2 linked regions of the Rhinolophus ferrumequinum genome follow. The protein of the gene in region 2 interacts with the protein of the main gene of each other region in a pairwise test. Links are inferred from orthologs where the notes say so. Each region holds a gene or a part of one and is shown on either strand. Other genes may lie near its edges.

What was found.
Region 1: the proteins of AGTRAP (region 2) and BPIFA2 interact in binary tests that used the Homo sapiens proteins (3 or more experiments, as listed by UniProt). The two-hybrid records come from large-scale screens. The link is inferred for Rhinolophus ferrumequinum from reciprocal best matches to the Homo sapiens genes AGTRAP and BPIFA2.

Annotation. Positions count from the first base shown.
Region 1 is NC_046306.1:21,718,180-21,726,235, forward strand, and holds the start of BPIFA2 (BPI fold-containing family A member 2), read right to left. Parts: upstream 3,402-8,056; 5' UTR 3,279-3,401; intron 2,476-3,278; 5' UTR 2,463-2,475; coding exon 2,306-2,462; intron 637-2,305; coding exon 492-636; intron 1-491. UniProt on the Homo sapiens protein: Has strong antibacterial activity against P.aeruginosa.
Region 2 is NC_046292.1:7,934,511-7,942,530, forward strand, and holds the start of AGTRAP (type-1 angiotensin II receptor-associated protein), read left to right. Parts: upstream 1-4,688; 5' UTR 4,689-4,817; coding exon 4,818-4,844; intron 4,845-8,020. UniProt on the Homo sapiens protein: Appears to be a negative regulator of type-1 angiotensin II receptor-mediated signaling by regulating receptor internalization as well as mechanism of receptor desensitization such as phosphorylation.

The sequences.
Region 1 (8,056 bases), on a different chromosome or scaffold from region 2:
CATACTGAGGGTCAGAGAGAGGTGATTTCCCCCAACATTCGAAAGGGGAATAATTGCCAGAGCCATAATTTGAACTCAGAACTGTTTGACTCCACGTGTAGAGCTAGCGGGTGTGAATTCCAGTTTTCTCTCTCCTGAGCAGATTCAAGCTTTTATTCTCAGCTATATTTGGAGAAGAAAATCTCATTACTTGGAAAATGGAATTCAGGCACCAGCAAATAGATGGAGGTGAGAGTGAAGAGAATCTTCACCCTGGCCCTAAAATTACAGAACGTGGAAGTTCAAACCTATGCAGTGCCCAGACTGGCCCTGTGACGCTGCCTTTAATTTACTCAAGTTCTGGTGGACGTGGCCTTAGACCAACCTTAGCTCTGGAGGAAAAACAAGGTTTGTCACCTTTTTGTCTTTAATCTTAAACTTACATATCCCCACCAAAGATGTGTGTTCCATTTTCTAGGAGCAAAGATCTCCACCACGAAGCACCAACTCACCCCAAAGACTTGTACTTAGATGAAATGATATTAGAAATGGCATCGTTCACTGTTTTTTCAACTTCCTGGAACTTCTGCTTGGCCAGTTGCCAAAGCTTGGATTCCTGAAGCTCGGACAACTCGACCTTTAGTTTCCCAAGGGCAGCTGAAAAAACAATTGCTATTTAGCATTAGGCACCACTTATGAAGCAGTTACTATGCGCCAGGTACTAGATAAGACTATTTGCCTATGCTATTTCATTTAATCTTCATAACAACTTGATGAGGTAGGTATTGATATTATCTACATTTTACACATGAGGAAATAAAGAATGAGAAGTTTAAGAAATGTGCCTGAAGTCACACAGCTATGGAACCCCTGTTCCTTCCATGCTGCCTTCATATTGACATATACTCATTATTCATCAACAAAGTAATGAATCAATTGACCAGGAAATTGATAATGATTGTACACCAGATTCTAGTAGTGACTTGAGGAACTATTGCTTTAAATGAGATGTCCACTCTAGTTTGAAAAACTAAGTCAAATGAAATGGGAGAGTAAACTAAAATACAGAAAATCTAGAATCAAGGAAAAAATATGGCTCTAACTCATAAAAGTGGGAGTCCCAGGATAAATGCTTTGCAACAGGCCCAGAGAGCAATAATTCATACAGGAGCGGGAGGACATAGTGTCTTAATGGGAGGTCTCCAGAGAAAAGAGGGAGTAGATAGAATAAATGACATGGCAGATGTAAAATGGTGCATATGAAAAGAGTTAATGATATGTGTGTAAAATAATTCAAGTGAGAAACAATGAGGCAATTACTAACTCGAGGAAAAACAAAAGACCATACAAGAAAAGATACGTAATCATAGTACTGCAACTTGGCTCTGCAATGGACAATATCTACCTAGTCATAACGAAACAAATAGAAAATGCCAATTTAAATAAAACTATGTCTGGTCCTATAACTCACTAGGTGACCGTGACCCAGACACTTCTGTTTCTGAGCTCAGTTTTCTCAGCAGTGAAAATGAGAGAGTGGGTCCCTTCTGTATCTTTGAAGGTTGACTGAGCCCTGACAAGATTTGAAAGACAGTCACTTACAGAAGTTACTATAAAGGATGCTTGTCAATGTGCTGTTAGTATTTCCAGAAAATGAAAAGAAAACAAAGTTATTTTAAGAAATCAGAATAAAAAGGAGATACAATTAAATATAAAAGTAGGTATACAGTTACCTAGTCTAGGTAGAGTTAATTTCCCATTAGTTAAAACAAATCAATAAAAAAAAAATATTAAACAACCGGACAGGATAATATGCTAAGAATATGAACAAAATGTTTGTTAAAATATGTGAAAAGCTAAAAAATATTTTTTAAATGAGTGGATTCTTCCATAGAGAAATGTAAAGTGAAATGAATTACGATCTTTCATCTATGAGACTGGCAAAACCCTTAAAATGTCCATACCAGTGTCAAGGGAGTAGGAAGAAAAGTACTGTCATAGATTGTTGAAGAAAATGATAATTTAAGGGATCCTTTGTCAGCATCTACTATAATTTAAAATGTGCGTGCCTTTCCAACTTTTGAAATCTCACTTTTAGGAATTTATCCTATGCATATATTGGAAAAAGTTTACCATGATATAATATGTAAGAGGATATTTATTTAAACATTGTTTATAGAAAAATAATAAGTAAATCAGCCAGGAACTGAATAACTAACCACCTTTCCCAGGAAATCACCCATACAGGGCAGCCCCTGGTAATGCAGGCATAGTATCTAGAAGGCCGGCTTCTGGGTGACACCTATCATCACCCTTGTTGACTCACCGTCCAGTGTTTTGTCAATGGTCTCAAGTCCTTTATCGAGAGAAGGTCTCACATGGCTCACAATATCATCCAGTTTGTTGCCAAGATCCTCTAGAACAGACCCCGAGGTCCCCGTGAGCAGGCCGCACAAAAGAACAAATTTCCAAAGCTGAAACATCTTGTCCTGACACCTGGACATTCATGGGAGAAACAGGAGTGAAAATTACCCGGAGGGAAAAGGAATCTTCAATGAGCACTTACCACTCTTACACTTAACATTCCTTTAAGACAGATGTCATTGTCTCCTGTTTTACAGATGGGCAGGCCAGGTAAGAAAGCTAGAGAAACTTGCCCAGAGACACACAGCCAGTGAGTGGAGGAGCTGCGATTGGAAAAGTCCCACTTGACTACAAGCCCATGCTCTTTACACAAAGGTCCTTTCCACATGCTGGCTTCTTTGCCTGAAACATCTGTCTTTTTCTTTGCATTTTTTACCTAAATTACTTCTTATTGACTCTCTGGCTTTAGTAAGACATCACACACTCTATGAAGCCCATTCTAGACCCCTCCTCAGAGCTTAGGGTAGGGGGCTCCATCCCACCACTTTTCTGCTTTTGTTCTCGGATCAGAGTCCTGCATACCAATTACCTGATGACCTGTCTACCTTTTCCATTAGGCTGTGAACTCCTTAGAGGAGGAACTATGAGTTATTTCACTGTTGAATCCCCAGCCCCTCGTAAAAAGCCTGCACCTAATACAGTACAACAAATCACTATTTGCTGAATAAAAGTATGAACAAATAAACGAGTACCATATCATGACCCTGCATTGCCCATTAGTTTGACACTTCTCTGAATATAATCTGTATCTATCTCTTAATTTTCTATATTCAAAATATTAGCAATCCAAGCAGCCCTATCCCTCTGCCTCTTGCCCTCAAAGCCTTCAGAAGACCACGTTGTAAGGTACCATCAGGGGGAAGCCCATCACTCACAGGTTTGGAGGAGGATGCTCACGAACACTTGTTCTTCTGCACGGTCTCCTGGGATTCTTCTAGGTGGTGGTGGCCCTTATATTGGTGGCTACAGGATGGGAGATTGCCCATGGAAGCAAGCCCTGGTTCTGGGGCCATCCAAGGAGAGGCCAAAGAAAATAACCCCTGTTCAGGGTGAGCAGAGAGACTTCCATCCAAAGGTCACCTAGGATGCTTGAATTGAATGGATGGATATGGGGAGGACTTTCTGCCAAGACTAAGACCGGATTCTCATGGAGCCTCCATCTGCCAAATTGGTGGCCATTGCGGGTGAGGGTTGGGGTGAAGACTAAGAGTGGACAAATTAGAGAATTGTTAGTGAGAACCTATTGTGATCATCCATCTTAATTCTATCACCATTTGGAAACTGAGGCTCAGAGAGGGGAAGCAACCAGCTTGAGGTCACCCAGCAAGACATGGACAGAGATCGGACCAGAACTGTGACCCACAGAGAGTCACGGTCAGCAAGCAGAAAGGTCATTCTGCCCCATCCTTCTCGGTGTCTGTGTGCTTTCTATAGCATCTCTCACAGTGGAGCCAGCCTCAATTTGAATGTTTGCAATGATGGGGAGCTCACTACTCCTTAAGCCTGCCTATTCCATCGAGTTGGTAGAGTTCCTCCTGAGAGTGAACAAAATCTGCCTCCACTTTACCTCCATATGTGGGCAGCAATGAGGCCCAGAAAGGTTAAGCACCCTGCCTGAGGCTGCACAGCCAGTGTCAGGAGACACACACCACAGCCTTATCCCTGGTGTCCGTCTGCACACTTGCCCTATCCACTCTGCTCAACACAGCAGCTAGAGGTGTGTCATTCAGCTTAAACCCGAAGTCCTACCATGCCCTGTAGGAGCCTGTATCATCTGCTCACTGCCTCTCCAAACTCATCTCCAACTTCTTCCTCCGGGCCCCTACCTGTCTTTCTTCTATTCCAGAAGATTCTGACCTCTTTCCTGCTTTGGGCCTTTGCATAAGCCGTTCTCTCTGCCCAGGACTTTCCTCCCCAACTGTCCCTAACTCTTGTTGTCACCTCTTCAGAACCTCCCTGACTGCTGACCTGAGGTGGCCCCTCCCTGTTATCCCTGATTTCAGCTCCTCGATGGCTTCTTTCATAGCAAGTCAACACAATTTGATTTTTTTAAAACTTTTTAAAAATTGATTTTAAGTGTGTTTTTCCAGGACCCATGAGCTCCAAGTCAAGTAGTTGTTTCAATCTAGTTGTGGAGGGCGCAGCTCACAGTGGCCCATTGGGGATCGAAACGGCAACATTTTTGTTAAGAGCACTGCACTCTAACCAACTGAGCTAACCAGTCACCCCCACAATTTGATTTTTTAAAAACTTGTTCTCCGCCCTCAGCAAATTGTTACCACTCTGTGCTCTGAGGCTTTCCTCATATGTAGGCTTCAAAGACTCTGATCTGTCTCTAGAATGTTCCAAACCTCTCTCTAAGGCATCCTATAAAACCAGTCACTACTTGGGAAGGTGGTGAGGTCCCCATCACCAGATATGCTCAGAAATTGAAATAGATAACTGCTAAGCTCCTGTGGGACTTGACGTGACTATGAGCTATGATTCTAAATTGTCTTGGTCTATTGTTCAAAGACCACTGTGGCACATTTTTATGATTCTTCTTCTCAGGTTTTCTTTCTACCTGAGTCCAGATGGATATCTTTCCCTTAGGCTTCCTATATCTTTCCTTTTCTCACCCTCCCAACCTCCCAAGACCCCAATTTCGACATGCTGTGGCCCCCTGGAGCCCCAGAGTGCTGGGTGCTGTCTCTCAGCACGGACCACGCCCCGAACAAAGCCAGCATCTCCCACTGGCACTGGCTGCCTGCCTCACACAGCCAAGCTTGAGGTAACACTAATTAGAAGTTCTCATTACCTGGCCATGGGTCTGGGAAAGAGGAACCTATCCTCTCACACGCAGCTCAAAAGTCCTGCTATCTAAGTCGCCATTCTCAGTGTCACCCACCTCTCTGCAGCTTCACTGTCCCCAGCTCACATGAAGACAGGACTTTTCCACACCCTCAGGGGCCCCCGTCTGCTAAAGCATTTGGGTGACCCCCAAGTCTGGTCTACACTAGGCAAAGCTCCCAAAGTGGGGAGAAACCTTGCCCCCTTCTTCCTGAGGTCCTCTGGATCCCACTCCTCATAGTGTGTGTGGAATTCTTGAACAAGCACATACATACTGACACATATGTATATGTGCATGTCCACACACATGTGTGCCCATGCATGCAGGTGACCAAGGCAGTAAAGCTAGACTCATAGACAACATCTCCCTGCCAACAACGAGGAGAACTTTTTACAGAATCATGGAGACACGTTACCACTGTTCTGAATGGAAGGGCTCCCTACCCACAAAGGCGGATTTGGGGCTTCCCAGATTGCCTGGGTCTGTTTTTCCCCTTAAATACTTTAGATACAATTATCTGGCAAAGCCCATTGGAGAATGAAGCAAATACTAAAGAAATGAGAAAATATATCATTCAAGTGCCTGGATATAGCTTTGCCCAAAGTCATGTAACCCCAGACTTTTCACTTCTAATACATTTCTCCCTCCCTCTTTTTTCATTGTTGCTTAAGCCCCTGTGGATTGGATTCCTGTCACCGAAACCCACAGCAGTCCTGACGCACCCATTTGTAGACTCACATCAGTCACCTCCCTTCTGACGGCTGCTCGAAGTTCGTACACGACACTGGAAACATCGCAGACACCAAAGCCAGAGGAGAGCTTAGAGTTTATTAATTTAACCTCCTTGCTGGGAGGTTTGGGGAACCTATAGCTCAGAGAAGGAGAAAGGCTCATCTAAGGCCACACAGTGACCTTCAACCCCTCTTGTTTTTCTCTTTTATTGCATAACTTTTAGTTTTGTTGGAATTTTCTACCCTGGACTTAAAAAAAAAAAAAAAAGATTGAACAGAATTACCTAGGAAACTTGTTTAAAATACAGATGCTTGCACTCCAACCCTAAATAATTTGGGTCAGAGGCTCTGGGAGCCCAAAAGTGGCCTGTGTCCCCTGGGGGTTGCCCCCTGGGGGTTGTTGACCAGAAATGGGAATGACTGGACTAGATGACTCAAAGGTGCCTTCTGCCCAGAGTTCTATGAGCTGTGACCCCCATCCCAACATCTGGAGCCCCAGCTCAGCCTAGACATGATCCTCATAACCCTGCAGCCCATGTGCACAGCACTTTACAGTGTAGCCTGACTGACCCATAAGAGCACACTATTAATAATAACAACTGCCATTTATTTGGTACCTGCTGTGTACCAGGTGTTTTTCCTACTTCACCTGGTTTCATCCCCTCATAACCTTGCAGGGGATGTTACTGTCCCTGTATTTTGGATGAGGAGCTTGAGGCTCAGAAGGGAAGGACAACTTGCTCAAGGTCATGCAGAAAGGAAAGAGCAGAGCTGGGAAGGAAAAAAATAAAAATCTTCAGCCTGGCAGATTGAGAACTGCTATTCCAGCTCATGGCCTTCTGGGGGCAGCAGCGAGTCACATTCTTCTGCCCCCAGTGCCCGGAACCCAGAAGGTGCCTGGTAGGGCCTGGTGCTTTAGGTACTTTCGCCATCAGTCTTCACGACAGACAACCTGTGAGGAGGTTTTGAGCCCCATTTTCCACTTGAGGAAACTGAGATTCAGAAAGGAGAGGTGGTTTGCCCAGGCCTCACAAGGACAGAAACTGGACATTTGATTCCATGGCCCTTCCCCCCATGTCACACTGAGGCCAGCTGGCAAGACAGGAAAGTCCTTGGGCTTCAATATCCTGTTTATCTCCCGGCCTCTGCTGTTTGAGTTGGTTGTAACGCCTGGTGCATTGGGCCCAAGTCAACCTGAAACAGGCCACAGGAAACTCAGGTAGGTGCCCACTTGGCATTCAGGCACACTGGCAGAGAGCTCAGGAACATCCTGTGCCTGTCTCCTCTGCTCACCCACCTGAGACTCAGCAAGGACCAGGTGGGCCTGTCCTTCATACAAACGTGGGCAGGGCAAAGGGTGTGGTAGGACTGGTGGCTCGGGAACTAGCTTTCCTCACACTGACCATGTTTCCACTATTAGAGCACAGAGCAGGAAGAAGGCAAAAGCGTGGCTCCCCAAGTCAGGGCTAGGACCTGGAGAACCCAGTTCAGTAGTCTTACTTGGTGGTATTGGACCAGTCATCAAGACTCTTCCCTGGCTACATGGCACCCAGTTCCACAGTGTCTGAGGCCCTTCTTCCTCCAGGTGTCAGGCGCAGAGCTGAGGGCTATGCTGAAATCTTGTGAAGAGAGTTTTTCCCACCCCAGGAACACAGCCCAGGGGCTGAGTGTTATGTGGTGATTTTAGACCTGGTGTTGGCCCCAGGCCTCAGTTGCCCCATCTGTAAAATGGAGTCAACACCCCTGTGCCTGGATTCCAGTGGCAAAATGGAAACCAAAAGGGTGCCCAAAGGGATCTGAGGGGGGTGGTCAGAGCCTGGCTCTCGGGTTGGGTTCGAATCCTTCGTTCTCGCTGTTGTTGGCTGTATGACTGGATGAGGGGTGTCATCTCGCTGAACCTCAGGTTCCTTATCTGTGAAATGGGAAGAGCAACAGGACTTACTTCCCAGGAGTGTTGTGAAGATGAGGTGTGATAATGCTTGTGGAAAGGCTAGCACGTGGTAAGCCCTCAATACACGTTAACAACAATGATGATCTTATAATTATTGTTGGTTTCTGGTCACTTCACTTCTCTCCACCACAATTTTCCCAT
Region 2 (8,020 bases):
CCAACAGGGCCCAGGCAGTCTCCTTTTCTGCTTTTCCCACACTCACCAAGGGGTCCACAGGGTGTTCTGATGGGTTCTCTGATGCCTGATTTGAGTGCAAGGGTCTCTGGAGGGACAGGGGAGGATCACTAAGTGTTTGGTGAGGGCTTGCCAGGATGGGGCAATAATTTGCATAGGACCCTGATGAGATGGCAAAACAAAAAGGAACATCAGGGATCACTGGCTGCAGTCTATGGCTCAGGGAGAAGGAGTCAAGACGCTTGGTTGGGCCTTTAAAAATCAGCGATGGAGGCTGCTGTAAGTTTGAATTCTATGCCATTGGGACAAACAGTTCCAAATCAGCACCGCCCCCCCCCTTTGTTTTGGCTAGTCACAAAGACAGGTGTCCCCTCTGGAGAAAGGGGGCTCCCACACCTCCCAGCGATGTCCAGGTGCCTCCAGAAAACCCAGGAACTGGGCAGTAGCAGCCCGTCCACCCTGAACGATAGTATGGGCACGGTGACTTTACCAACAAGTCATACTGGCCTCGATACCTTCAGAATCTTGGCATCAACCAGAGCCTGTGCTGAAGAACAGAGGATGAAGTCTGGGAGCCCCGGAGAGCCACCCCGACTCCAGTCCACAGGGTTCTATTCTGTTCTTTCACTTCTGCCCATTTCTGCTGTCTCTGCTCCCAGCAGCTGGCATCAGAGGGAGAAGATCCCGTCCACAGATACAAAGAACAGCACCGACCAACAAAACACCAGGCCTTCCACAACCCTGCCAGAACTTAGGCCAGAAACACAGCCGGTGTGTTTGTGACAAGCTGAGCAGAAATGCTGGAGGATAGGACACCAGATCAAATCTCAGTGACATTCCCTGTGCCACCAAGGGCCACACCCTATCTTCCAGAACCTTCTCTGATGTGCTTTTGTGGACGGCCCTGCATTCTCATAGGCACACGTGCCTTTCAGACAGTGTTTTGGTTCTTTTCTCTGTCGGTTCCAGTTTGATTTACACAGTTGGGAAAGGAAGGGGCCGGGCCACCTAAGAATTGTTGGGTGTCCAGGACTCTGAAGACCAAAGGACAATTGGAAACCATTTCAAAGCCTTTCATATGGGAAGCCTCCTTTGTGCTTCACACAGCCCCGGGGTTGACTATTACTGTCCCCATTTTCTAGATATGCAGAAAAAATTTCACAGACTAAGTGGTGACTAACCCAAAGTCACACAGATGTCAAGGTCAGTGCTGGGGGTCGAGGTTGCTCAAATGCTAAGGCCTGGCTCCCAGGCTTTGCACATAGGAAAGGGGGATGGGTGGAATCTTCTCTCCATCAAAGGGGCCTTTTCCAGCTGCTTCAATCCTGGTATTTATTGTGCGCCAGGAGATGCTGAGAGGCGCTGAAAGATGCTGCGTGTTTTTTCACAGCAGCAGGGCAGCTATTCGCTTCCTGAATGTTTACAAAGTGCCAGGAGCTGTGCCAGGGATGCTATGTAAATGATCCCACGTGATCCCCACAATCACCCTGAGGCTAAATAACTTGCCCAAGATCACTCTGCAAGGAGGAGGCAAGACAGGGATCCAAAACATACCTTTACCTAAAGGACACAGGCAATCATAGGAAAGACATGGCTGTGGCTGCTTCATCAGCCATTTCCATAACCAGTGGCACTTACCAAGTGCCGTCCTCAGCAGAGCCTGGACTATCCGTGGCATCCTGAGGACAAGCAGGGAATTGGGTGGCAGGTCTTCCAGGTGATGGGAGGAAGGGGTGCACACAAATTTGTTCAGTGGATGTACCTCGGTTCATTCCCTGAGCACCCAGCATGCCCCAGGCCAGTGTTGAGGTTCCAAGACCCTCCTAGGATTTGCAGTCTAGGTGGGGGTGGGGCAGACAATAAACAAGTAAACAAGTAAATTGATAGGTCAATACCTTCACATATTGGTAAGTGCTATGAAGAAATTACAATAGGACAGTACAACCAACTTGGAAAACAGTTTGGCAATTTCTTAAAAAGCCAAATATACACCCGTCATATATGGTCCAGCCATTCCACTCCTAGATATTTACCCAAGTAGGTGTTCAATAACTATTCTCTGAATGAATGAATGAATGAATGAATGAACGAATCTATTCTGCATGTCAGATTCTTTGTTGAAGGTACAAAGATAAAACTTGGCCGAGACAGACAGGATTGGTCAGGGACATGAAAACTTTAAACTTGGGGCGGCAGGATGGCTCAGTTGGTTAGAGTGCGAGCTCTCAACAACAAGGTTGCCGGTTCAATTCCTCACATGGGATGGTGGGCTGCGCCCCCTGCAACTAAAGATTGAAAACGGCGACTGGACTTGGAGCTGAGCTGCACCCTCCACAACTAGACTGAAGAACAACGACTTGGAGCTGATGGGCCCTGAAGAAACATACTGTTCTCCAACATTCCCCAATAAAATTTATAAGAGAAAAATTTAAACTTGACTTACAAAAGTATGACCCCAAAGCCTTGTGGAATATGCTTTGTGGGGGTCCATTTGACCTTCCATAGTTACAACTGGGTCACGGCAGGAACTCTGACTCCTTTAAGAATAGTTTTACTTTCTTGTGTTCCCTCCCCACCCCAGCCAACTGGGTCTGTCCCCACTTCCCCAGCTGGTCAGGATGAATACAGCTCTCAACCACAAGGTTGCCGGTTCGACTCCTCGACTCCCACAAGGGATGGTGGGCTGTGCCCCCTGCAACTAACAACGGCAACTGGACCTGGAGCTGAGCTGCGCCCTCCACAACTAAGACTGAAAGGACAACAACTTGACTTGGAAAAAGACCTGGAAGTCCATGCTGTTCCCCAATAAAGTCCTGTTCCCCTTCCCCAATAAAATCTTTTTTAAAAAAATACCCACCACTTATTGAGGAATTACTCTTTTCTATGTACTCTACTGACAACAATAATTAACACTAATACACTAATAATTATTAATAAAAGTACAGCCAATCCTGACTAAGTGCTTACTGTCTGCCAGACACTGTCCTAAATGTTTTTCATGTATTAATAAATCCTAACAACGCTTTGGAGGAAGCCACTGTTATTATCCTCATTTTACAGATGAGAAAACTGAAGCACCGAGAGGCAAAGTGACTTACCCAAGTTCAACCAGTAAGTGGACAAAGCCAGGACTCAAACTCTGTTGCTCTGTTCTAGCGCAGTTCCCCTGTGCTTTAAATCCCCAAAAATCAAGCTAAATGAGCTGTACCCATTGGGCTGGTCTCTAAAGATCACCAGCTCTCAGTTACAATGGCAGATGCTATGCTGCTCTACCCCTGGGCTGGAGGGCTTTGTCTCTGAATGGGGCATTAAATTAGGTCAGTGGGTACTGCAGGTCCTGCAGTCTTTCCTTTGTGTTGGAGAGAGTATATGTCTTGATATGATCTCAGGACCCACCCAGGCAGTTTCGCAGGTTCCCACATGGTCTCTCCTGTCCTGGAGACACGAACAAGTTGTCAGACAGACCGTAGGGGACCCTCTAAATAAAGTTTTCTCTGGTCATGGGTGAAGGATGGGGTACAGGGGAGGATGGCGGTAGTGGGGATTTACATTCCTGTTGGGAGGTGGTCAACAGCCTTTGAGACGGCAGGTGAGACAGCTCTCTCTTTCCTCAATTTCTTCCATTCTTGGTTAAGAGGCAAACAGGTGTCTTGACAGACTCTTTCTTCACTGGTCTGCTTTTTTCTGGAAACAGGTGTGTCCTACAGGTTTTCTGCTGGTCTTCCAGATGGATTTTTCTACAGCTTTTAGTTTGTTCATTCAAGTGGCCCCTTGTGTGTTGATAACAACAATATTTTCTATGTACTGCTCATCGAGTAAGTGCCAGGCACTTTTCTAGGCACTTTCCTTTGACAAAAACTCTATCCTTGACCAAACTTTAGTTAGGCTCATGAGGCTTCTCCTCAAACTCGGCCTCAGCCTGGCCTCGGTGTGCAACCTGTTCTTGCTGGGCCTGCATAGCCCAGTTTTAGCAAGAATCCCCCTGCCCTGGATAACTGAACACCCTCCACATCTGATCAAGTTCCTCACCTGCCCTCCCTCACCTTTTGATGTCTACGTCCTTGGCCTGCCTTTAGCAAGAATCTTGTTAGGTTGGTTTAGCAAGAATCCCCCCAGCCTTTAGTGTCTCCTCTTAGTAATTTTCCATCTACTGAGCCCTCACTCTGCTGCTTCGCTATAAAACCCCACTTGTCCTTGCTGTTCATAGTTAAGCTTGATTTTTCTCCCCTCCTGCAACATCCCTATTGCAATAGTGTTGGGTGAAGTCTTCCCTACCATTTTAACAAATGTCAGAATAAATTTTTCTTTAACAAAATGGATTCGTTCATTTATCCTCACAAGGGTCCTCTGAGGTAGGTACCGTCAATGTCTCTAACACTGGAAGGTCGAGAGGAGAGAGGATTTCCTGAAGGATGAGATAGCAGCTGTTGCCACATCCTCACTTTGCACCTGGACATACCCCCAAGTTCTCCTGGCTGCAGGTGGTCCCGTCAGTCCACCTGCTGGGATATTAACCAGGCAAGATATTGCTCCCTTTGCGGCAAAAGTCCTGATGTTCTCCAGCCGCCCCCGGGAACTCCCTGAGCAACGTGTGGACGGAGCTGGGAGCCAGCGGGAAGCGGGTGCTGGCCGACGCCGTCCCCTGGCAAACGGGCAGTGGTCATGTGACCCGAGTCACGTGGCCGGGAGCTGAGCTGGGGTTAGAGCCCAGGCAGCAGGGCTGGCTGGTGCTGGCAAGTTTGCTTCCCGAGTTCCAAGACCCCGCGGCTGTCGCACAGGTGCCTTCCGCCTAGGTCGGGATGGAGCTGCCAGCCGTGAACCTGAAGGTGGCGACGGGCGGGGCGGGGGTGGCCACGCCGCAGGCGGGCGGGCGCGGGGCGGGTCTCCGGGAGTGTGGGGGCCGTTTGCGCTTTTAAAGTAGGATTTTGGAGGTGAGAAGGCCGGGAGTTTGGGAAAGAAAAGGCGTAAGGAGAAAGAAAAGATACAGACCCCTGGTGAGAAGGAGGCGGGCAGACAAACCAAGGCCGGGAGAGAGATCCAGGAAAAGGCCAGGAGGGAAAACCGAGGGAAAGGGCCGCCCCCTCCGGCAGTCGGATCCCTGCCACTGGGAGCACCCGGCCCTGGAGGATTGCTGTGGCCTACGCCACCAGAATTCCCCTGGGGAAAGAGGAAGGCGCGGGGGAGGGACTAAGACCCGGAGTGGGGCTTGGAGGCGGACACCTCCCCTCCACCTAGAGGGAGAGAGGGAGGGCGGAGGAGGGAGACGGAGAGAGGTGTTAGACCTTTCACCTGGCCTCCCATAACTTCAAGGTAGCCTCCTTTGTTTGCTAAATCCGGTTAAGAAAAGTAGATGTGCCCGGACTGGTGGTTTACAAAATGTATCAACCCTGCGTCCTTATTTCCCAAGAAACACGAACTCCAGTAGAAGTTGCTTAACGCCAGAAAACCACAACTTGGTGCACTTAGTAAAACACTGCAGGGCTTCCTGGGATGTCTTCATTTCCTGAGCGGCTCTCCTGAGCTCCTCAGGATGCCACTGGCGGAGGTTCATTTTCTCCCGCCACACCCCAGCCCGCTGTGCTTCTTGGCTGGGTTTGCGACAGAGGGGCTGTGGCCTTTTTAGCTTTGGTCAGGAGGGGGTGAACCTTCCGCCAAACCTGCCATTTTGGGTCTCGGTGCAGTCTCCTTTGAGACTGGATCCAGGAATGCCCTTTTACTCACTGGTGACAAAGCATTTAGCAGCCATGGTGTCCGGTACTAAAGGAACCCAAAAGATAGATGACTACAAAACAGCACATCATTCATATTTGGGTTATGAGACCTGCTCTGTGCTATGACTTCATACAGGCAGACTTCCAGTAATCACGCTCGCTGGGACCAACCTCCCTGAAGCTTCTAGTCAACAGCTGCGTGGAGAGATGTCTGGAGCAAGAGAATGGGCTTGGGTTGAAGGTTTATCTGGGAAGAAATTGCCATGAGGGAAACATCCATACTCACTCTGTTCCAGGCAGTGTGGGGTTAATGCCAACTGCCTTTTCTCTAGCGATTTGCCTAAAACAATGCTAAGAGAAAATCAGGTGAAGGACAAAGCTGCAGGAGTTGAGAAGGAAGAAAACTCTCATTCCTGGGGCATCTGTGGTGTGCCAGGTTATTTGTTTAATCACAACAGCCTTCCGGGAAAGCTGATATTGTCATCTTTTACGGATGAGCAAACCTTGGCTCAGATCAGATAAATAATTTGCCAAAGTCCCACAGGGATTAAGTGGCAGAGTCAGGATTTGAACCCACCAGGGTCAGACTTCAAAGCCAGCCTGAGACCTTGCCTGGTCACCAGTTAGGGCTGACTTCTGCCTTGATAGTTTATGTCCATCAGGGGGACTTAAGTCTGTTTGGGGCTTTTTTGCAGCAACTTATTGGCCTGACAGACCAAGCACTACCATGGGTGTGAGCTGTGCTGGCTTTCGGTGCCCAGAATGAAACTCTGGTCCTTCCCTTGATTTGGGAAAAAAGACCCTCTGTCTCTATATAGGTCTTCCGCTGTTACTAGTCAGAGACAAGTAAGTGTCAGGAGGCCCTGAGGGACCAGGGTTGCCAGGTAACATATAGGATATCCAGTTGAATTTGAATTTCAGATCAGCAATGAATAATTTTTTATCATACGTATATTCCAGGCAATATTTGGGACATACTAACAAATTATGCATTATCTGAAATTTGAAATGAAGTGTGCCGTATTGTTAAATCTGGCCTTCCTATGGAGGGTAGCTGTTGACCCCGGGTTCACAGGCACTTTCGTGGGTTGTTCCGAGATCAGGGCCCCGAGGGGGCTGGGGAAATGCAGCCCGTGGGCCTGCCCTCCCTCCCCACTCCCTTATTTCATACATTCTTTGGGAATTGGCCGAATGCCAGCTTGTGCCCAGCCAGAGTGGGCAGTGGTACCCGGTTAAAAGAAATAGCTGCTCTAGGCCCTTTGCACAAAAGGTAGTCCCTAGCTGAGCCCCATCCCTGAGGCAAGTCTTGAGCCAGAGGGATGACACTGTGACAAGCTTAGAAAGGACTAGACTTGGGTTCATGACGTCTTGTGGAAAGAGGCCCTTGTGGGAAGAGGGTGGGGGTGGGGCGGGTAGTGGAGCATTTGGGTTGAGAACTCAGGAAGCTGACTTCCTATGGTAAGGAGGACAGCTTCGTATCAAGGGCTGCTTACCTGGCAGGCACTGTGTTGAGTATTCACATACCTCTCCACTTCCCTGTACCACTAGATCCGCACAACCCTACGAAACAGGCATATTGTCCCTACTTTACGGAAGAGCAAGCTGCAGTTCTGAGAAGTCAAGTAACTTGCACAAGGTCACACAGCTTCTGCAGCATGGAGCCAGGATCAGCTATCTGGCTGCAGCGCTCATGCAGTTAACCACTGCCTGACTCCGCCTCCCCTCTAGGGCAGCCCTGATTTGTGTCCCTCAGCCCTAGCCACCCTCTGGGATCTCACCACCTCAGATAACAAGTCATGGAGTGTTTGCACGGGACTGGTAGGACTATATTTCATATGTCGACCTGTGTGTTGATCTGAGAGGTCAGCGCACCACCTGTGGGGAAATCCCCCCCCACCCCCACTCTCGCATCCCTCATGGGCTTCTGGTGGCAAAGTAGTCTAAGTCCACAGGACCCCTTGGTTTCCCCTTAGCCTTCCCTTCTCCAGGTTAAACGCCATTTCCATCCGCTTTTCCAAACCCTGACAGTATAACATGGATAGAGCACAGGCCTTGGGGCCAGACATTCAAGGCTGGGCTTTGCTACTTATTCACCGTGACTTTGAGCAGGTTTCTTAACCTGTCAGTATCAGTGTCCTCACTGTAAAAGAGGACAAAAATAAACCCTATCTTCTAGGGTGATAAGAGGAGGAGCTAGTGGTCCAGGAGGTGGTGTAGCTTTACATTTTTACTGGCATAAAACCTCAGACCAGATAGACCATCTGAGATCTGCACCTGGCCTCTCTTATTTG